2 linked regions of the Caenorhabditis elegans genome follow. The protein of the gene in region 1 interacts with the protein of each later gene in a pairwise test. Each region holds a gene or a part of one and is shown on either strand. Other genes may lie near its edges. The genes, in order: odr-3 and odr-10.

Evidence for each region.
Region 2: the proteins of odr-3 (region 1) and odr-10 interact in a two-hybrid assay, tested with the Caenorhabditis elegans proteins (one study listed by BioGRID).

Annotation. Positions count from the first base shown.
Region 1 is NC_003283.11:13,242,455-13,253,045, forward strand, and holds odr-3 (Guanine nucleotide-binding protein alpha-17 subunit), read right to left. Parts: upstream 7,083-10,591; 5' UTR 7,081-7,082; coding exon 6,920-7,080; intron 6,868-6,919; coding exon 6,562-6,867; intron 6,107-6,561; coding exon 5,978-6,106; intron 5,762-5,977; coding exon 5,632-5,761; intron 4,848-5,631; coding exon 4,575-4,847; intron 4,501-4,574; coding exon 4,429-4,500; 3' UTR 3,870-4,428; downstream 1-3,869. UniProt on the Caenorhabditis elegans protein: Guanine nucleotide-binding proteins (G proteins) are involved as modulators or transducers in various transmembrane signaling systems. This specific G-alpha subunit plays an important role in olfaction and in cilia morphogenesis.
Region 2 is NC_003284.9:6,860,934-6,870,001, reverse strand, and holds odr-10 (Serpentine receptor class r-10), read left to right. Parts: upstream 1-4,062; 5' UTR 4,063-4,066; coding exon 4,067-4,261; intron 4,262-4,308; coding exon 4,309-4,472; intron 4,473-4,718; coding exon 4,719-4,853; intron 4,854-4,895; coding exon 4,896-4,962; intron 4,963-5,004; coding exon 5,005-5,079; intron 5,080-5,123; coding exon 5,124-5,249; intron 5,250-5,293; coding exon 5,294-5,471; intron 5,472-5,520; coding exon 5,521-5,600; 3' UTR 5,601-5,687; downstream 5,688-9,068. Other genes in the region: C53B7.6 (uncharacterized protein), read left to right, coding at 1,233-1,370; nep-4 (Peptidase M13 C-terminal domain-containing protein), read left to right, coding at 6,588-6,673, 6,719-6,852, 6,923-7,011, 7,474-7,629, 7,674-8,000, 8,253-8,408, 8,461-8,574, 8,618-8,689 and 1 more. UniProt on the Caenorhabditis elegans protein: An odorant receptor which affects chemotaxis to the volatile odorant diacetyl. Specifies AWA neuronal cell fate via the odr-7 pathway.

The sequences.
Region 1 (10,591 bases):
GCTTAAAGATTCGTCGAAATTTCCAAAATTAGTTTCATAAATCCCTGTCAAAATATTTAAAACGGTAGCATTTTCTTCAAGTGAAAAACGAAGAGAAACATCTTTTGAACACCGTGTCAATTTGTATGTGTCCATCCGTTTCGGAGAATGATGATTTACTAGAGAATAACTATGTGTTGTAACCCTATTAGTAAGTGTTCTCGCGCCGGTAGGGGGCGCCCCCGGGTGTTCGTGTTGGGCGTCGCGGTCTTCAATGAAAAAGACGAGAAAATTGAGGACGAAGTAGAGTGATGGAGAAGGAGAAGAAGAACACATATTGTTGCCTACATATGTACCATTTACTGAAGTAAGAAACTAAAGGAGAAATAGAGATATGTTAAATCTATGTCTAAAAGTGTTGCGCCGATAAGGAACGGTATGGAAATTGGTGCTAACTAAGAGATCAGTGAGAAGTTGAAGCTCGAATATGTGATCAAAAGGTGTTATAGTTCATAAATACGACTGTGAAACACACCTGTTTGGTTTCTTGTACATATAGACTCCCACTGGCTTTTCTATTTATACTACTCCACTTCGGAATGTAGGTTGAAAATATCGAAAAACAATCTGAAAGTGGACTAAACTTGATAGCTAGAATTGATGAGGAAATGGGAAGATATGCATCTCGAACGGTGGTCAAAACCATCACCAATGCTGACCTTCACAAATACACACTTTCAAATCAAACCGGTCGGTCTTCCAAACAAAAAAGTTTCAGTTTCGTCGAAAACTGTGTTCAGTCTCCGTAAACAAAACAATCAACAGTAGGTCTATGACCCTATGCTTTTTGAACAAGAAGGAGGAAGAAGCTACCGGATGCATTAGGCATACTGTAGGAAGTTTCAAAGCAGTAGAGAAAGTGACTTAGAGAGTGAGAGTGAGAAGAATGAAACAAAAAGAACATGATTTGAGAAGAGTGTCCGAGGGGCGAGAAGAGTGCAAACGCACTTGTTGCATCGGAGACTATCAAAGTGTTTCCGAAAAGAAAAAAAAAACAAACAGAGACAAATAGGGAAAGGACAAAAGTTCGAATGACTTAAAAATGAAACTATTTTTCTTTTGAAACGCTTTCAATCAAAGTGAGCAAAGCTACGGAAAAATTAGCAATTGAGCGATCTTCAAAGTTTCGACATAGGCTTTGTCATTGCAATGAGATTTCAAAAACATACAGAGAATCGGATTGTTTCAATTCCGGAAGCACAGTATTGTAGAAGATAGTGTAGTGATTTTTAAAGAACTCTTCCTACAAACATCCTGAAACAAATAAAGTTTCTTGAGCTTTTGTAACTGTCTTGTAAAAACAACTTTCTAGATGCCAAACCAGGAGATAATCGGTCAGAAGTGAATAAAAACCAGGTGAAAGTGATCAAAGCGGATTTAAAACAAACGAACGGTCAGTCAGCCGGTCTAGTTTACCTCCCCCTCCCGCCGTTCGTATCACAAAGTTTTGTTTCGCAGAAAAAAGGAACAAGTTGCAAACAAAATATTTGCGGAGAAAGCCAGAGCCAGGATGGTGGTGGGCACGAGGGTACAGGGAGCAAGATGAACGGAGGAACACAGAGAGCACAAATTGAAAATTGACGACAAACAAATAAACAATTGAGCTCTCTCTCAATTTTTCGATGTTCATCGTCTCGCTCCGAACAGTCTGTTCGTAATGCGACTACTCCGATCTACGAGAGGTGGAACCGAGTGCCACCCGGCACCCGGGACGACACGCATTTCGTGGAGAAGATGAGAAGAGGAACACTACCAGTTCTTCATTTTTCAACTGATAACCATCAATAGAAACAATTGAGAGACAGAGTTTCAAACTGTTGTTGTTGCAAGTTAACGGTTCAATTCGCTGACACACGCAGTTTTCAAGTGTCGTGTTTGAAGGTATTATCCAATTTATTTATACATTTTCCAAACGGATCTTAATGTTTGTTCAGTGTTTTTGTTATAGAAGTTATTATCAAATCCTGAAAATAACAGTCCTTTCCATTTAATTGATATCCACAAAAGCAAACTTCAGTAGTAATGGAACTATTTTCTGATTGAAAAAAAGAGATGTTTAAAATTTGTTGACTCGTTCTTTTTTCAAACGTTTCCATTTTGAAAAATGATAAAGTGAACTTTTCGAGATGATTTTTTTGCTAGATGTGTGACGGTGGTGTCAAGCAGGATAGAATAGGTTATTTTAAGAATTAGGCTGAAAAGTGAAGATGCAAACATAAAAAGCGTATATTCAAAATTTTCCAAATTAGAACTCTGGGAACGAGGTCTTTCATGTAAAATTAAATTTTGAGACGCCTCTGCTAGTTTAAACATGAAAACTTTCAATTCTTATAATTTTGAATAGCGAAACTCAGAAAAACATTTGTCGCAAAACATACCTCTACTCTTCAGTTATTTTACCAGCTCTACCGCGAGTCACGTAAAGATAACCTGTGTAGCCGAAATGCAGGCGAATAGGCGGTAGGCAGACTAGTAGGTGTGTAGCAATGTGATACTTCTACTAACAATTTTTCTGAAAACATTCCACTGATCGGCGTCCATCGTGGAAGCCAATGTGAAGCCACGCAGGATGTTGTTTCTTCACAACTACGCCTCAAATCCGATACTTCAATTCCTACGTGTTCCTTCTTCTGAACCAAATATAAAGATATAATCAAATTATCGTTTTTTTTTCATTTTCAACGAATCAAGTAATTTCTCGGGTACGCAAAAAAGTGGTCCACGTACCGTTCAGTGCTAGCCATCCAAATTCATCAAGGTGGGGGTGTTCATCAAGATTTGGCAACCTTCAGATAACAAACAACTTGTATGCCGTTCCGAGAGAAATGAAACATTCTAAACGGCAATGGACGAGAAATGTTTTCTAGTTAATTAATGACCTTGGATTTTTTCTTGCAATTTGCAGTTCAAATAAAAAAAAGTAAAATCGCGTCAGTTGTTTTGTATATCTTTTATTTTGTACTTTGTATTTCAACCATACGAACTCTGTTTGGCTTCTAAGAGTGATAAGTTTACCAAATCCTTTACTCTTTTGTCTCTTTTTTATTTTCAGCAGAACATATTTGTCGGACGTATGGCACATAATCAGCAACTCCGGTACAGTGAAATGTCTGGATGCTGGTAAACGGACGGAATCAGTATATCCGTATTGGATGGTTCAAGAGTGGGTCTAATTTTTAGGCATCGTCTTAGACTGTAGGTGAAGGTAGGAAAGACATCAAAATTGGTACGGGAAGGAGGTGTCAGTAGTACTGGATAAGGAGGTGTAAGAAACACTGGATAAGGAGGTCTACGTAGCACTGGATAACTCGCAATTGGATGATGTGAACACCGAGGGACCATGTGTCGAGGATTAGCTGAATCCCTGAGGATATACGGGCACATTTTCGTGTTCCGGAAGAAACCCCAGAAGAACTTCAAGAAGACATCGGTGGATATACTCGTGATCACAGCAATCGTTTGTCATTGAAGAGGGGAGATGTTGGGTATCAACGTGTATTGACCCACGACGTGGCTAAGAAGATCGTACAACGTGAACTCTATGAACTAACTTATTTATTCCTTAGTTTAGTAATGTAATAAACTACTCGTCTTCGCCTCCTCGTTCTGCCTCAATACATAACAATATTTCATCAGTTCATGAAGAAATAATCAAAAGCTGAACATTGCAAACACAAGAAACAAAGAGTAAGAAATGTATCTCATTTCTGATTCACAAAAATTGTAAAAATGAGTCAACCACGTCCTTTGATGCTTTAAATTCAAATATGCCTGGTAGATGAGCTATCCGCAGTTTCATAGATTAATTGGGCTCTCTGTTTCTTATTATTTTTATTTTATTTATTCGTTATTGTTCATCTCTAATTTTGAAGCATGTTTTACAGCATTCACACAAAAATTGAGTTTCCAGAAATAAAATAAAAAAATGACAAAAGTAATCGACAAGAAAAAAACGGAAGATGACGGGGAACTGAAAAAAACTATGGGAGTAGACAAATGGGAAAGCGTAGGAATTAGCTAAGTTTGGAGTAGTAAAGGGTTATAATCGGTTGAAAAATTATGGAGCTCCCTATGAGAAAAACATTTGATTTAAAACAATTTGCAACGTTGCACATGATATTCGTGATTTTTGGGATGTGAGGAAAAAATGAGATCAGATAAGGATTGTGAAGATGAAAAAAAAAATTAAGAATTGGAAATTCGTGACTCACTTTTGCATTAGCTGTTTAAAATTTCCAACTCCTACTTTGTTTCAGATCAAAAAGTGGGCAGAGTATCATTTTCAAAAAATTAAAAGTGAAATATGGAGAATCCTACTTGCAGAATCGGATCCTATTAAATGAGTGAGTAGGCAATATGTTATTATGAAAAAAAAATCGAATTGTTTTTTTACATCATTCCTGCTTTTTGTAAATTCTTCTGAATAATTGTATCAATAACACTCGAAATGACAAGTTGTACCTGAAAATTGGGAATTAAGTTTTTTTTTTTGAAGATCAGTTCAGAATTAAAATTCCAATAAACCAATAACCTACCTGATTAGTGTCTGTAGCGCAAGTTTCATGCATATAAATTGTCTTTTTATCAGGATTCAAGTTCAATTCAGCAAATTTCTGCTTGATGAACGAGACGGCCTCCTCATAGTTTTGACCACCTTCATAATCTGGGAATGCAGTCGTAATATTGACTCGTTGAATCTTTTCCATAAATAAATCTTTTTTATTCATAAAAAGAATCATTGCTGTTGAAAGGAACCAAGTTGAATTACAAATTGAATTGAAAAGCTGCATGGACTCGATCATTCGGTTCTGAAATTTCAGAGATGGATTGTGGTGTGCCAAAAAAAAATGACGATTAGAAAAAATCCATGTTTTACTGTTTAACTTTTTTGATGAAAATTGAAAAATGCTGCGGTGTGTCTGGATTTGCCTTCAAGAGAAAAGAACACGAAAAAGGAAACATCAATAAAAAGTTAAACTAGCGCAGCCTGTGCCTACGATTCCCAAATTTGATAATTTTATAGACGAAATCTCTTTTCAGCATTTCCTTATCTCTTTTCAGATTTTTCAAGAAAAAAAGTCACGGAAAATGATAGAAAAAAAATGAAATATCGCAACTCGGGCTTGAAAACGGTGCCCGGAATTGCTGCATTTTCACTATTTTCACCACGGCATACTATTTTTCAAACCACAACTGATTTATTGTTGCCACTGATTAAATTTAAATTATTATAAAGGGCCACATTCAGTAAATCTCAGTGATGGATTGACTGCAAAAACAAGCGCAAATCTAGTTTCAAAGGTGTAAAACTATACACCAGAGGTGTGCGACAAATCTCAAAATTTGCCGAGCTCTGCAAATTTGCCGCACGCCCCTGCTATACACCTTCGCATGATTTTGTTATAGTATATGCTCTAGCTACATTGCTTTGATATACTACAATTAATAATCTCAGAAATGGATTTAAGAAGAACAAGAGATGCCTACACTTTTCAGGTATGCTAGATAAGTGCAGACAAAATGAAGATTAATGCGTTTGCTCTCTCAGGTCATCGATAAGTTTTTTTTTGAACATTTCGAAACAAAACTCACCGTCGTTTCATCTTCGAAAAGAACTTGATCATATTCGGAAATAGCAGTAATGAAAATAATAGATTCGACATTATCAAAGCAATGGATCCACTTTCGTCTTTCAGATCGTTGACCTCCCACATCAAATACACTGAAATCAAGGATTAAAACATCAATATTCATTTATTCCCTTCATCTTTTCATTCCACCTTTCCTCGGTTTCTTTAATTTCAGCTAAATCCAATTGTCACCATCAACAAAGGAATACATAAGAAAATAGTGTTGCTATGGAGACTCGGTGAAAACCCCAGCTCATTTTGTTTTTTGCTCTGGGAAAAGTGAATCAAGAAAAAATGGCAAAACTAACCGGAAGTCAAGCTCCTTGATCTTAAATTTAACTTCTACGACACCAGTTGTTGCCACTCGAGAATAAAGAATATCTTGATCGTTTGGCCGATACCCAGGTTCAGATATACGCTGACAATTATCCAGAAAACTGAAAATTCAATTTTGTGTAAAGGGAGAGAGTTACATAACTGGGAATATGACTAATTAAATAAGAAGTGAACAGGAACATTAGTGCCACGTCGCGGCATTTGTTGTGCAAAACAATTTTTAATGATTAACGATTTTCGTACTGTATTTTTTTGGATAAGAAATGTTAAAATTTTGTTTGCACAATTTTGAAGAAAAAAGATAAAAAATTAAGATTTTTTCAAAAAAATTCTTCAATACTCTTCAAATTATCTTTTAATTTGAGACGAGTCTACATTAGCAGCAGAAGTCAAAATAAAAAATGTTAGAAACGTATAAAAATGAATTTCAGAATTATTTTAAACCCTTAAGCGCACTCTCAACTTTTGTCGATGTTTCTAGAAAACTTAAATATCAATTTTTAAACCAATTTCTTCCAATGAATGTAATTTTGACGCTACTGTACAAATTTCTTACTATTTAGCAGAATCTGGAAGTTGATATTCGCTACGCATTTCAAATGCTTTCTTCACGCCAGGATCTGCCCATAACGATTGAATTGCTTTCGAAACTTCTTCTGTCAGTGCTTCTCCTTCTTCTCCATTTTCCTGTACTTTCATAACTATTGCCTTTTCTGCTTCTTTTTGTCCATTTTCCAACGGTAAATGCAGAACTCCGTCCATTGCTCTTAAAATTGTGCACATTGCAGAAACAGTATTATTGTAAACAATTGCTCGTTTTTCATTTACTTCTTCTTCTGTGAATCCGTTGCTATGAAGAATTCTGAACAATAAAACCAATTAGAAGATGCGAAAAAGTCCTAGATTCAACATACTGCATCTGTTTCAGAACTGTAGATTTTCCACATTCTCCTGCTCCAAGTAGCAAAAGCTTAACAATACTACTTCCAGCTCGCTTATCCGCATTCAATTGTTTTTCAATTTCTTTGTTCCTCGCGTTACCTTCCGAATTTTCATTGCTCTGGCATGAGCCCATATCTAAAAAAACAATGATCTATGAGTAATTGATTTGAAATATCGGAATAACAGAACAATAAAAAAAGAGTAATACACAAATGCATTTGAAGTATAAAGATTGGAGGTAAATGGAGTAAAAGTTGAAGAAAAGAGATAATCTTATCTGCTCGTATATCAACTGCACTTAGCTTACATCGCCGGCTCCGTCGCCTTCATAAATCCAAAGTCAAAGACGACGACGAAGAAGAAGAAAACGGCGTCGACGACGACAAAATGCCTGTATTGTTCGATGGGGATTAGCGTTGATAACCTACACTCGAATAAGAGCAAATATCAATAGAAAAAGAGAAGAAGAAGAAGATGGATGGAGGTAAAAGGTGGGTGGAGAATGGATTGTGTTAGAGTAAGTGCGTCACAAGACACCACGATCCTTCTGTCGGCGCCAAACGATTTGTATCGTTGCAGTCGAGAAGATGAAGAAGAAGCTGGGGAGAAGGCAAGTGCACCTACTACAAACTCAGGAAATCTAGGAAATGAACAGAGAAAACATTTGGCTTTCTTTGTGATCAGAATGGAGAGCAAAATATAACAATGTTGATAGATCGTAAAGACTGATAATTTCGATTAATATTTCTTGAAGATGGACTGAGATTTGGGAAGATTTTTAGTTTGAATTGTTCAATATACACCAAAATGTGAAAACCGAGAAAATTAAAAAAAAAACTCGATGTAGATTGCTAAAGAACAACAATCAAGAATAAAATTCCTAGAATTAAAAAGTGTCCCATCCAACTTTACGCCAAAAAAAATCGATCACCATGTAAACATATTCAAAACAAGGACGTGAATATTCATACTAGTTTTTTAAATTTTCAGAGTTGGAAATAAATCGTTTTAAAAAATGTATTTACTACTTAATTACTATAAACCCGTACAAAATCATTTACGAGTTTTTCATATTTGGTGACAAAAGCAAGGCTTGAGTGATTTTTTGATAACACTTTTTTCTTGAATACCAAAGCGTTTCTAAAACTTTTATAGCATTTTTTCAGACCGAACAAAGAGCTGATAAGCCACAAAACGGGAATAAATCCAACAATTATTTACACTATCGATCTCTTAAATTTAAATATATCTATCGCACACTTTTCTTTATTGAATGTTCAACAACAGGTGAAATTTTCAGGAACACTTTTTCTCGATATATTTAAACTTAATATATACAACTGTTTTTTTCGATGGTTTTTCAATGGTTTATTTACTGTTTGTATTTTGTACCTACAAAAAAAATCGAAGAAAAGGGGCGTGAGAGACAAAAACCACGAGGTGTCTCCTAGACAACGTCACATGAATGACTAAAAATTCAATAAAATAGTTATTGAAAAAAAGGTTGTGAAACATATCACATGATAATTTAATTTTTTAATTATGTTAGTTAACAGGAAGAAAATTATATTTTAAAATGGGCGTGGTGAGAGGGTAAAAATGGAGTATCAAAAAACAAGAACATAAGTACAAAAGGATTTGTTCTAGAGGAATGATTGTAGTTGAAACCAACATGAATTGTCGTTCGGATTTCATTAAAAACATTTATGAATCAGAATTAGGTAGAAGACGCCTCCTACACCTTTCTGTTTAAAAATTACAAAATACTACGATCAGTTCCTTCAGCTGGGTGATCCGGAAAATACAGATAATAACTAAAAAATTTCAGTCATTCAACCAAGAAAGCGGAAAAAAGACTTGAGTATATTTGCTTTCGTATTTTCTCCTTAGAGACGTGAGAGTCACCGAATGAGTGAAGGAATTGAGATGGAAAAGGCAAGTGGACAGGTAACACTGGACGTTGGTTGTGAGAATAAGATTAAGGAATTGAGAATATGATATTGAGATATGAAAGTCAACACAACGTGGGCGATTGAGTAAAATAATCTAGTTTTATAAAATTAGAAATTTGGAATTCGAAATATATTTTGGAATAAGAAATATTAATTTAATTATATTTTAAAACTTGCTGAATTACCAAACTGAATTACCAAATAAGTATGTCTCGGTTTTGAAAATTATAGGTGGCAATTACCTATTACTTCACAAAAATCATACAATCTATTGGGCAATCAACACATTTTAATTACGAGTAACTCATTTCTAGACATAAAATTATCAGCTGGAAGTCTAACAAAAGAATATTGGAGACATCCAACTTGGGAATAGTGTTTATTACGTACGTTCTGAACTCATGTCTACAACTAGAACACTGATCTCTTTAGACGTTTAACCCGAATAATGAAACACAAAAATGACGTGTAATTGAATAATTCTATCAAGGAGCTCGAAAACCCACATGGCTACAAAATGTGAAAAAAAAATTGGAAGTTTCTCTGAAAGTAAGAAAGTAGGATAAAGTAAGATGAAGACGCCAAGTTTTCATTCTTAAAAAAATGTGTTTTGTCGCTCGGAAAGCATAATTTGTTTCGAATACTTTACAATAAAAGCCTTCTGGGGCTGAAGCAGACACGGAAAACACTGGGGTACATGCTAATTATTCAAAGATCAGTGAACAAGTTAGTAGATTAACACAATTTTTATGAAAAGAATCGGCGGGAAAAATGAAAAACTTATTGAAATAAGTTCCAACGGTCAATGGGAATACAGTCAAAGGAAACACTATTTTTAAAAATCTACTATGTTGAGATATCACGAAAAAATGCTTGATTTTTTTCCAAGATCCACATTAAATCTCATTAGTTCTACAATGAAAGGAGCGAGTTGCTAATTGGTCTTGCAGTGGTTCTTTCGGAGGAAATTCAAATGGAAAATTGCGTTATTGAAAAAGGGTTCTTTCTCGATTTATTTTCGTTTTTTATTGTGCTGGTTTAGCATTTGGTCTTATTCTGAGTTTTTCAAGTGAACTCTTTCCATTAATGGAACTCCATCTCCAAAAAATCAATATAACAATTGCTCATTTCTAGAGAATATCCTGCTGGATGAGCAGAACACAACCTATCAAAAAAATTTCGAAATCAAAAAGAAATGAAAATATTTCTCCCCCGAGAGTGAGAGTATGAATCAGAATAATTTCGATAGACGTTCTTTGCCACAATTTTTGTAGCAGATTTATGTGGCATGTAATCCTTCACAGCGAATCAAGACAATAGCTTGCGAGCACTGCTTTCACGGATTACAGTAGGTAATCGAAGAGCAGGGATACTCGGAAGAAGAGATTTTGAAATAGGATTTGATGGAATTGTGAAACTAATCTAATAGTAACAACACAACTTCAAATTACCACCATAGATTTGTTTTCTAAAAATGAAAAAAAAATCAATGTCGAATTGTCAAACTGTTCTGAGACATTTGGACCAAATTTTAAAATTTAGTATTAAGAAAAGAGCAGGTTGAAATAGGAAACAAAAACTTCAAAATCGAAATCACATGGCACATCTCGAAAAAGGATTGTTTACACCAAGAAAAGAGGTGTCAGATGGACAAAGAAAAGAGTGCATACCTAAAAGAAAATGACGTGGAAT
Region 2 (9,068 bases), on another chromosome or scaffold:
CTTATTCAGGTGTGAGTCGAAGTAGCCCGAGACGATTGGCTCTAGTATGGATACTTTACGACAGTTTCAGACAGATTGTGGCCCGCCTTTAATGGGAATTATTTCTACTGCACAGGTTTCTACTGGGTAACGATCAGTGTTTTACTGAGATGGGTATTGAAGGGCTGTTATCTGGTTAGAAATTTATGTGGTGGACATATCGGTTTTTCACCAATCGGATGGACGAGACACTAAGTCTTTTACATCTTTAGCCCCCGGCTTTGCTTGTTCTACCCTATACCACACTAAATCCCAAACAATAAACCCGTAATACCATATAACGCGAGTTTAACATTTTAGAGCGGAGTTTGATCGGGAAAACTAATTCTCGGAGAGCGAAGCGAAACTAGAATTTTATGTTTTCCCCGAGAAAGCGGAGCGAATATCGTAGCGCCAGCTTAAAGGCGCATCGACTTTAGTGAGCGATGGGTCCCGACGCGACGAAATCTTTCCTCGGCGCACCGGCGGATTGTCATCATTCTACGTGTTGGTTTCCCACCCTCCCGCCCCACATTTCTACTATTCCAAAGTGCGAAGCACGTACGCTATGTTTTCCCCCATGAGGCCGTCTGTCATATTCTGAATATGTCGCTTTTAAACGGTAAGTCGCTGTTCAGCAGGTGAGTTCATAGTTTCCGACATGTATGACCAGAGCGGGCAGTCGGTGTCGGTCTACTACATACGCAGGTCGACCCTTGTGCCTGTTTTTGGTGGTACCAGGAAGCTTTTTCATGTTTAAATGGAAAGGAAAAAATTACGGATTTGGTTCACGGAACCAGTTTACATTTTCGCCTTAATGATCTTTATTTGCAGCCACGTTTGTTTTGAGATGAGGATCCCAGTACGTGCCGTTGGACGTTAGACGGAATATTCTCCAACCGTAAGATCTCACTAGATTGAGCTTCGTCTATAATTCGAAGTTTGATCGACTTTTCTTTTGCCTCACAAGAGTTCGAATTGCCCGGTAGAGGTTTGTGGTAGAAATATCAAAACCCCAGTAATTTACGAGAAAATTTTATAATATGCATTAATTTTTCATAATTGACTCATAAATCAATACCAGTCTGAACACGGGCTCAAGTAAGTCGATTACAGTTTATTCTAAGAAAATCGAGATGATTTAGAGGTCCCTGCAGACCAATTGTGAAATGGCCATCTATTTTTCAAATTAATGTAATGTGTCATTTCAGATTATGTATTATATTGCTTCAGCCGACAGTCAACAGAGTCAACGAGGCAGATCACAGGCCGAAGCCCCAGAGTTCTTGACAGAGAAGTGCCCATTCGTTGGAGTGAAGAGCACCCTCGAGCAAGTCGGGACGCCGAGATGACATCGTTTCTCCGGACCCATGGAAGAGAAGAAAAGACGAAGTTTTAGGAACATTGCTCGAAACCGCTCGGTCCGTAAACGACGAAGCCTATTCGTTGCAGTGCTGACGGTAGCAGGGAAGTTGTTTACATAAAATATTAAGAACCGTTAAATTATTTAATAGACACAGTAATTCGGTTCATAGTTTTCAGTTTTCCCCCACGTCAGACACCATCGATCAGTCACCATGTGCCATCGCCGAGCGGACTCAGGCCGTACAATACGAGGAACACACCATACGAGGAACGATCGGACCGTCTACGATACTACTCGGATATATTAATTACCCGTTTTGAAATCTTCGAGGCCCGTTTATCAAATTCTAATTTGGGCGCCACGCGCCCAAATCCCCATTATTTATCACATTTATCACGTCCTATACCACACTAAATCCCAAACAATAAACCCGTAATACCATATAACGCGAGTTTAACATTTTAGAGCGGAGTTTGATCGGGGAAAACTAATTCTCGGAGAGCGAAGCGAAACTAGAATAACTTTTCTTAACCAATACATATTCTACTGTCTATTAATGTGTTTTCTATAGTTTTATTTTCAATAACGTTTATGAAAAAAGGAAAGACACTGTGTCAGTACTACTTTCGTTAAATCTTCACGGTTTGTGCAGATGTCCCTAACATGTTGTCGTCATACACAGGGAATTGAACCAGTGGGTGCCGGCACGCTAATCGAACGCGCTAACCGCAAGGCCACCAGTGTCAAGAGTTTATAATGCGAACCTTTTGTTCATATTCTTCGACACTTCAGTAGTCCCTTGAAAATTTCAATTAAAGGATATTAAGCAGTTTTTTGAAAGGTTGGGTAACTGTAATTTTTGTAAATACCTATACCAATGAATAAATGATGTTTCATTACAGAAAACCGCTAGATCTATACTTTCCAAGTATCAAGTACAGAATTACATCTGACAAGGGAAGTATTTCAACTTAATCCCGGACTTCTGAATGAAACCTATGTCATTTCGAAGAAGACTCTTTAAGTAGGTCCCTACAAAACAATTAGCGGCAGAGGAGCACTTTGACCTGGCAAAATATCGCTCTGAAAACTTTTCAGTGCATTTTTTCACAACTTTCAAGGCCCGTAGAATGGCTCCAAATGTGAATTTTTGTAGATTTTTGATAATTTCTAGGATGCTCAGGGGCCGGAGAGCACTCGGAATTTTTTTGGAATTTTTTAAACTTTTCGAAAAAATCTGAAATTTTTTGAATAAGTCCATGACAAAATTTTTCAGTGAATATAATTTTTTTTTTAAATTCAGAAAAGTTGTCAAAGTTATTTAATATCAAAATTGGGTGTTTTTACACAATGAAAAAATTTTTGAGATTTTTCGGAGTTGCAAAAACAAATTTTGGAAAAAATCGGCACCCGGAGTCGAACCCCAGACTTAAGAAATATTAATCAAACTCGCTAACCACTCGGTCATTCGATGACACTTTTTTTGTAAATGAAATAAATGACAAAAACCAGAAAACGTGACACTTTGATATCTACTTAAATATATAGGGACGTGCGAAATAGCATTGGAAAATGAGAGGACGCAGAGAAAAATTTTCAGAGCGACTTTTTTCCAGTTCAAAGTGCTCCTCTGCCGCTACATTTTTTGGAGGGGCCTACTTAAAGAAGGAGTATCGTCAATGGGAAAATTGTTTTAAAATGTAGTATTTGTACTCAAACTTTCAATTATCGCAAAAGAAAAACGGAAAAAATCCGTTAACATTCAGCATTTAGCCGTTGAAATCGACGAAAGTGGCTGAAAGTGGCTGAATTTGAATTTCGCGCGCAAATGAATCCTAGGCCACCACGCAACTTTTAGGCCATATTCGTAAACAAAATATTGATTTAAATGTAATTTTTCGAACTTTAATTCGCTTTTCTTTCTGGAAAAGTTCAAGAAAACTGGGAAGAAGAAATTGTATTGAGTATTTTTTCAAAGGACAATACCAAAACAAATAAAAATTCGAAAGATCGTCGTGGCCTAGGATTTCTGTAGTTAATTTTTAAAGATTTTTTCGACTTAAAATGCTGAATCTAAGCGGATTCTCCCGTTTTTGTTTTGTAATATTCTTAAGTTTGAGCACGAATACTACATTTTAAAACAATTTTCCCATTGACGATACTCCTTCTTTAAAGGGTCTTCTTCAAAATGGCATAGGTTTCATTCAGAAGTCCGGGATTATGTTGAAATGCTTCCCTTGTGAGTAGGCAGTAAATACATCCAATTTCACATAATCGAAGAGAGATCATTCATTTAGGATACATTGTGTTGTGATTCATGACATTTACTACAACACAACCAGCTGATGTGTGTGATTCAGGTTTTAATTGTAGCATCTTGTGATTGGAATAATAAATTCAATATATTTTCCCAATTCTGAATTTGTGGATACAAACGTATTATTTTTAACTGAATACCTCGTGAAATCAGATTTCAGATTTTGAAAACAATATATCTGACTATAAGTTGCGTATGTAGACAAATTCCAGGAAAATAATGGCTCAAACGACACGCCCCTGGCTTCAAGTTACTATAAAATAGGTTAGGAACAAAGCACATATAACCATGTATTCAGTTTAATTAATTTTTTGTTGGCGGTGGCATGAAATTCTCATAATTTCATTAAGATACCTTACAGCTCCATGTCGGGAGAATTGTGGATTACCCTAGTTGACACAGCGGACATTGTCGGCGTCACCCTCACCTTCTGTGTCAACATTGTTCTTCTCGGACTTCTGAAAACACGTGGAAAAAACTTGGGCACTTATAAATATCTCATGGCGTTTTTCTCAGTATTCTCGATTTTTTACGCCATCATCGAGTTCATATTACGACCTGTAGGCTAAACTGTTGAACTTGAAGTTAATAATGTATTAAATTTCAGATAATGCATATTGAGAACACCACTTTCTTTTTGATCTCAAGGAAAAGATTCAACTACTCCACCAAACTTGGAAAAATCAACTCTGCGTTTTACTGTGCTTGTTTTGCCACCAGTTTTGTTGTCTCAGGAGTTCACTTTGTTTATCGATATTTTGCAACTTGCAAGTAAGTACAATTGTAAAACGGGCTAAGTTTCGTATTTCTTTTGTTAGTATTGCTCTATTAGTACAGTATCCAATAGGAACAGCATTATAAATAAACTGCAAATGATCGGTTGAAAAAATGACTTGTGGAACCTTGCTGTAAAGGTGCAGCACTAATGTAGGATGCAAAACTTGTAGGGGTGGACTATTAGCTCTCTATTATTAGTATACATACTTTTAGATTAAAATACTATAACACCCTTCACAGACCGAATCTACTTCGTTTGTTCAACTTGCCAACTCTTCTACTTTGGCCACTTGGTTGCAGTGTACCCGTGACAATGTGGGCTAGTGTCTCATATTTTTTGTATCCAGATACCGAGTACACGGAAGCGGCTGTCACGTATGAGATCTATGAATTGTAGCTAGGAATTTTTTTTTTCAGCAATGTACTAAATAACCACTATAACTGGATCAAAAAGGAGAATGTATCGTACATTGCATACGTCTATGTAAGTTGATAACACGGAAACCATCAAACTAGATACTTTCAGTACCAATACGAAAACGGAGTAAGGCATATCTACCTCAAAAACTTGCTTGGATGCTTTGTTCATTACTTTGTCATGGTAAGCGGAGATGTTCCTAACATAGTTATTCAACAAGGTTTTAGTCGATGACGTTTGTTGTGATGTTCTACTGCGGATATGCCACGTGGAAAACTATGAATGAACACAAGGATGTATCTGATAGAACTCGAGCGCTACAGAAACAACTTTTCAAAGCTTTAGTTCTTCAGGTATCCCGATCTGAAACTAGAAACATGGTATAAGATGAATTCAGACACTCATCCCAACTATCTTCATGTACGCCCCAACTGGAGTCATGTTCATCGCACCGTTTTTTGACGTGAATTTGAATGCAAACGCCAATTTCATTGTGTTTTGCTCATTTCTGTACCCGGGACTCGATCCACTCATTCTGATTTTGATCATTCGTGATTTCCGAAGAACAATATTCAGTAAGAAGAAAACATATATATTACAAATTGACAAATTGCAAAATTTCAGATTTCTTGTGTGGAAAGAAAAACAGTGTTGATGAATCCCGCTCGACAACAAGAGCCAATTTGTCTCAAGTTCCGACGTGATGAATGTTTTTTGAAATACTGAGAATCGCACAATTGAGAAATTTTAATTTCATTGGACTTGTCATGAGAATGAAGTCATGTTATACAGTTTCAGGATTAAAAAGGATTAAAGGACGATCCGTTCTTCAAGTGCTATGCACTGCGGATCTGGGATTCAGGTACACTGCCTGGTGGTGATCCCTCTAAAAAAAACTTTTACTATATTTGGGCATTTTAGAACTAAAAGAGAAGTTAGAAGCAACTGACTTGTAGATAATGAAAAAGCTGAAAAAAGCTGAAAATCTATAAAAAGAGAACAAATTAGTCTGCTTTCGGTATGTTACCTGCTTATGATCTATGCTTGGCTCAATTTCTGAAAAGTAATCAGACTCTCAGTTTTTTTTTACTTCATCAAGTTGACTACAACATTTAAAAGTAACATGTTTGATGATGGTCGTTTTTATATTAAAAAAAAGGAATGAAGAGATATAGAAAATTATTTGAAAGTGGTAATAAAAATTGAAAACTTAATTTTGATGCTTTTGTGGTGTACAAATTCTCCAACGCTTTAAATGGAAGTTGTTATTATAAAAATGATATTAACTTTTAGGAGCTGTTAGTACTAGAAAGTAGAAACTAGAAAGCACTAGAAAATTTGGCTGATGATACCTTTTTTGTACTTGGCTTCTAAACCAAAATTAAAAAATTAAGAAAGAAACAACAAAATATTTTTAAAACATTCACCATTAAATTTTTGATTGGAACATGGAGCAATTGAACATTGTACGTACAATACAGTAATCTAAACATTTGAACACAAACATTAGGATAGCGGTTTCTTGAATTTGACAAAAGGTATGAGGAATTGAAAAAAAAAACATGAAAAACGTGAAAACTTTCCTTTGATGTCTTTGTTGAATCTTCATTTTCTAATTTTTTTCTATAGAAGTTGTTGTTACCAGAGTCCTATTTATTCGCAAATGTTGCCAGTTACTGTCTTTTTCCGAAATGTGGCTGATAATACTTTTTTGTTTTCTACCGACCCAAAATGCGTATGAACATCCGTTCGATTTTATTGAAAATGCGCTAGAGAAGTACACAATCAACAGTGGAAACCCGCAATATTTATATGTTTTCAGAATAGTGGACTGGAAATCAGATCCCTGTGATGATTTTTACCGTCATGCTTGTCCAGTTGGCAGCATTGAAGACATTATAAAAGTATCGATGCAACCTTTAAAAGATGCATTAAATCATTCGTGGAAGCAGAAAGGTAATAATATTTTTCCTGGCCTGGCGAAGAAGGTATGTACTTTCAAGTTGAATTGAGTTTTTGAGTTCAGGCCAACGAAACGAGGGAAAAGTCTATAATATCAACTTTCGAAGATCCCACATATGCTGCCACTTTTTTTGCAAATTATTATTTATCTATGTAAGTCTGGTATGAAATAAAAAACATGTACCAAGTGTGAGGATCTTGTAGAAACGAACCCTAACGTGAGAACAAGCTAAATGTTGAAGGGAAACTAGCTAATTCACGAATAAATTCAGTTTTCCAACAACTAATCAGTAATTACACTTTAGATGCAATTCCTCCTATCTTCCAACTCAGTTGTTCACTTCCAAGTTTGAGAAAATAATCACTAACTTGTACAAAGAAGAAACATTCAGTTTGTACAATTTGAAAAGTTTACGGTGTAGTATGACCACTGAGGACATAACAGTATTACTCACACAGTACTTTAATACGTCGTCGGAAAGTTTTGTGAGTGTTGCTATTTTTTATGAAACTTGTCAGATTGTTTTACAAATCTCTGTGGAACTTTATTTTGAAGCACAGAGCAATTTGTTTCTAATATTACATACAAAAAAAAACAAAAAAATAAGATTTCAGTATGACTATCAATATAGATTTATCAATTATGTCACTTTTTACGACGGAATGTTGCAACCATTATATTACCACGTTGAAGCAAATGTTACTGACGGAATTAACGAAATTCACCAAATGATGGAGGACATGGTAGAATTAGGGAATATTTGGCTTGAGGTAAACACTGAATGTGTGATTTTATACCAATTTAACATTTTTAGAAAACTCCGTGGGTTATTAACAATAACCTAACCGAGGAAATGAAGAATATTACAAATGCAATTAAAATGCCAGTGTCACTGACCAAATATACCAACTTTATTTACAATTTGCTATCTCCAATAGAAACTGATTTTCTGAATTGTGTTTCCGAATTTGAAGGAATTCAAAACAATACTCTATTTTGCTTATTTTATTCAGCGAAGATATTCGTACGCACACGTGGTAGCTATTTCATAGATGATAACGGCTACAATGCAGAAGGAACAATTTACTTTGGTTTTCCAAATTATTATCATACTACATATGGAAACTGGAGAGCATCAAAAGTAAGCCTAATACTTTTATGTTTTGTATCTTTTGTCTGTCAAATTTTTTGAACCATTCAAGCAATAAAAATACAAGTAGCGTACATTATTCTCTATTACTCTTGCAGTTTCTGCTAGTTTTCCACACTAACAAGCTAATCAAAAAATTAGTCTGCCTTTAATAGTATTGCCGTGTTTAAATGTCGGGCACATCTACAGCTTGATATAGACTTCCATGAAAGACTAATAGAGGAAATATGGACTATTTTTCAGCTGGGATACACAGGAACACGAGTAGGTCATGAAATCGGCCATACTTTCATTGAACACAGTATCAATCCTGACGGTCTTCCGTATTTTTCAAAGCCAGCTGAGGATTGCGTTCAGAATCAATATTTAAAGACTTGCAATGAATATTACGAAGGGGAAGTGAGTATTAAATAATTCAATTTTTCACCTGACATATTGTTTTTTGTTTAAGGTTCCTGATGCTTGCAATACTTCAGACTATACATTTGATGATAATGGTGCTGATGTTTTTGGTCTGCAACTTGCATATGCAATACTGGAGAGAGATTTGAGCGACCAATTGAGAGTGCGTTGTATCACTTTTCTTATTTTGCTATAAACAATTTAAGGAGCAAGCTGATGGTTTAAAAATCACAAACGAACAATTGTTGTTCTATTCATTTGCCTACAGATTTTGCAGGGTTAGTACATAAAATTAACATTTTTGACTGTCTGATAATTGAGGGATCAAAATCCAATACAACAGATGGCTCGCATTCGCATCACAATGTTCGAATTAATGCTGTTGCACAAATGCCAGGATTTCAGCAAGCATTTAATTGTGCAAGTGACTCAAGAATGATGAAGTCTGCAACAAAACAGTGCGTCATTTATGGTAACAATGCTCCGGAGACACGCAAATAGTTGAATGGAGATAGCTGACGTTCAGTTATTTATCGTTTCACTCTACATTTAGTTTTGATTCAAATTTTATTCGCTTGTTTTTAAATTTCATATAAATTTGTAGACACTTTTCATTATTCAAAAATAAAAGTCTTGCTAACACTCTTTGATAAATTG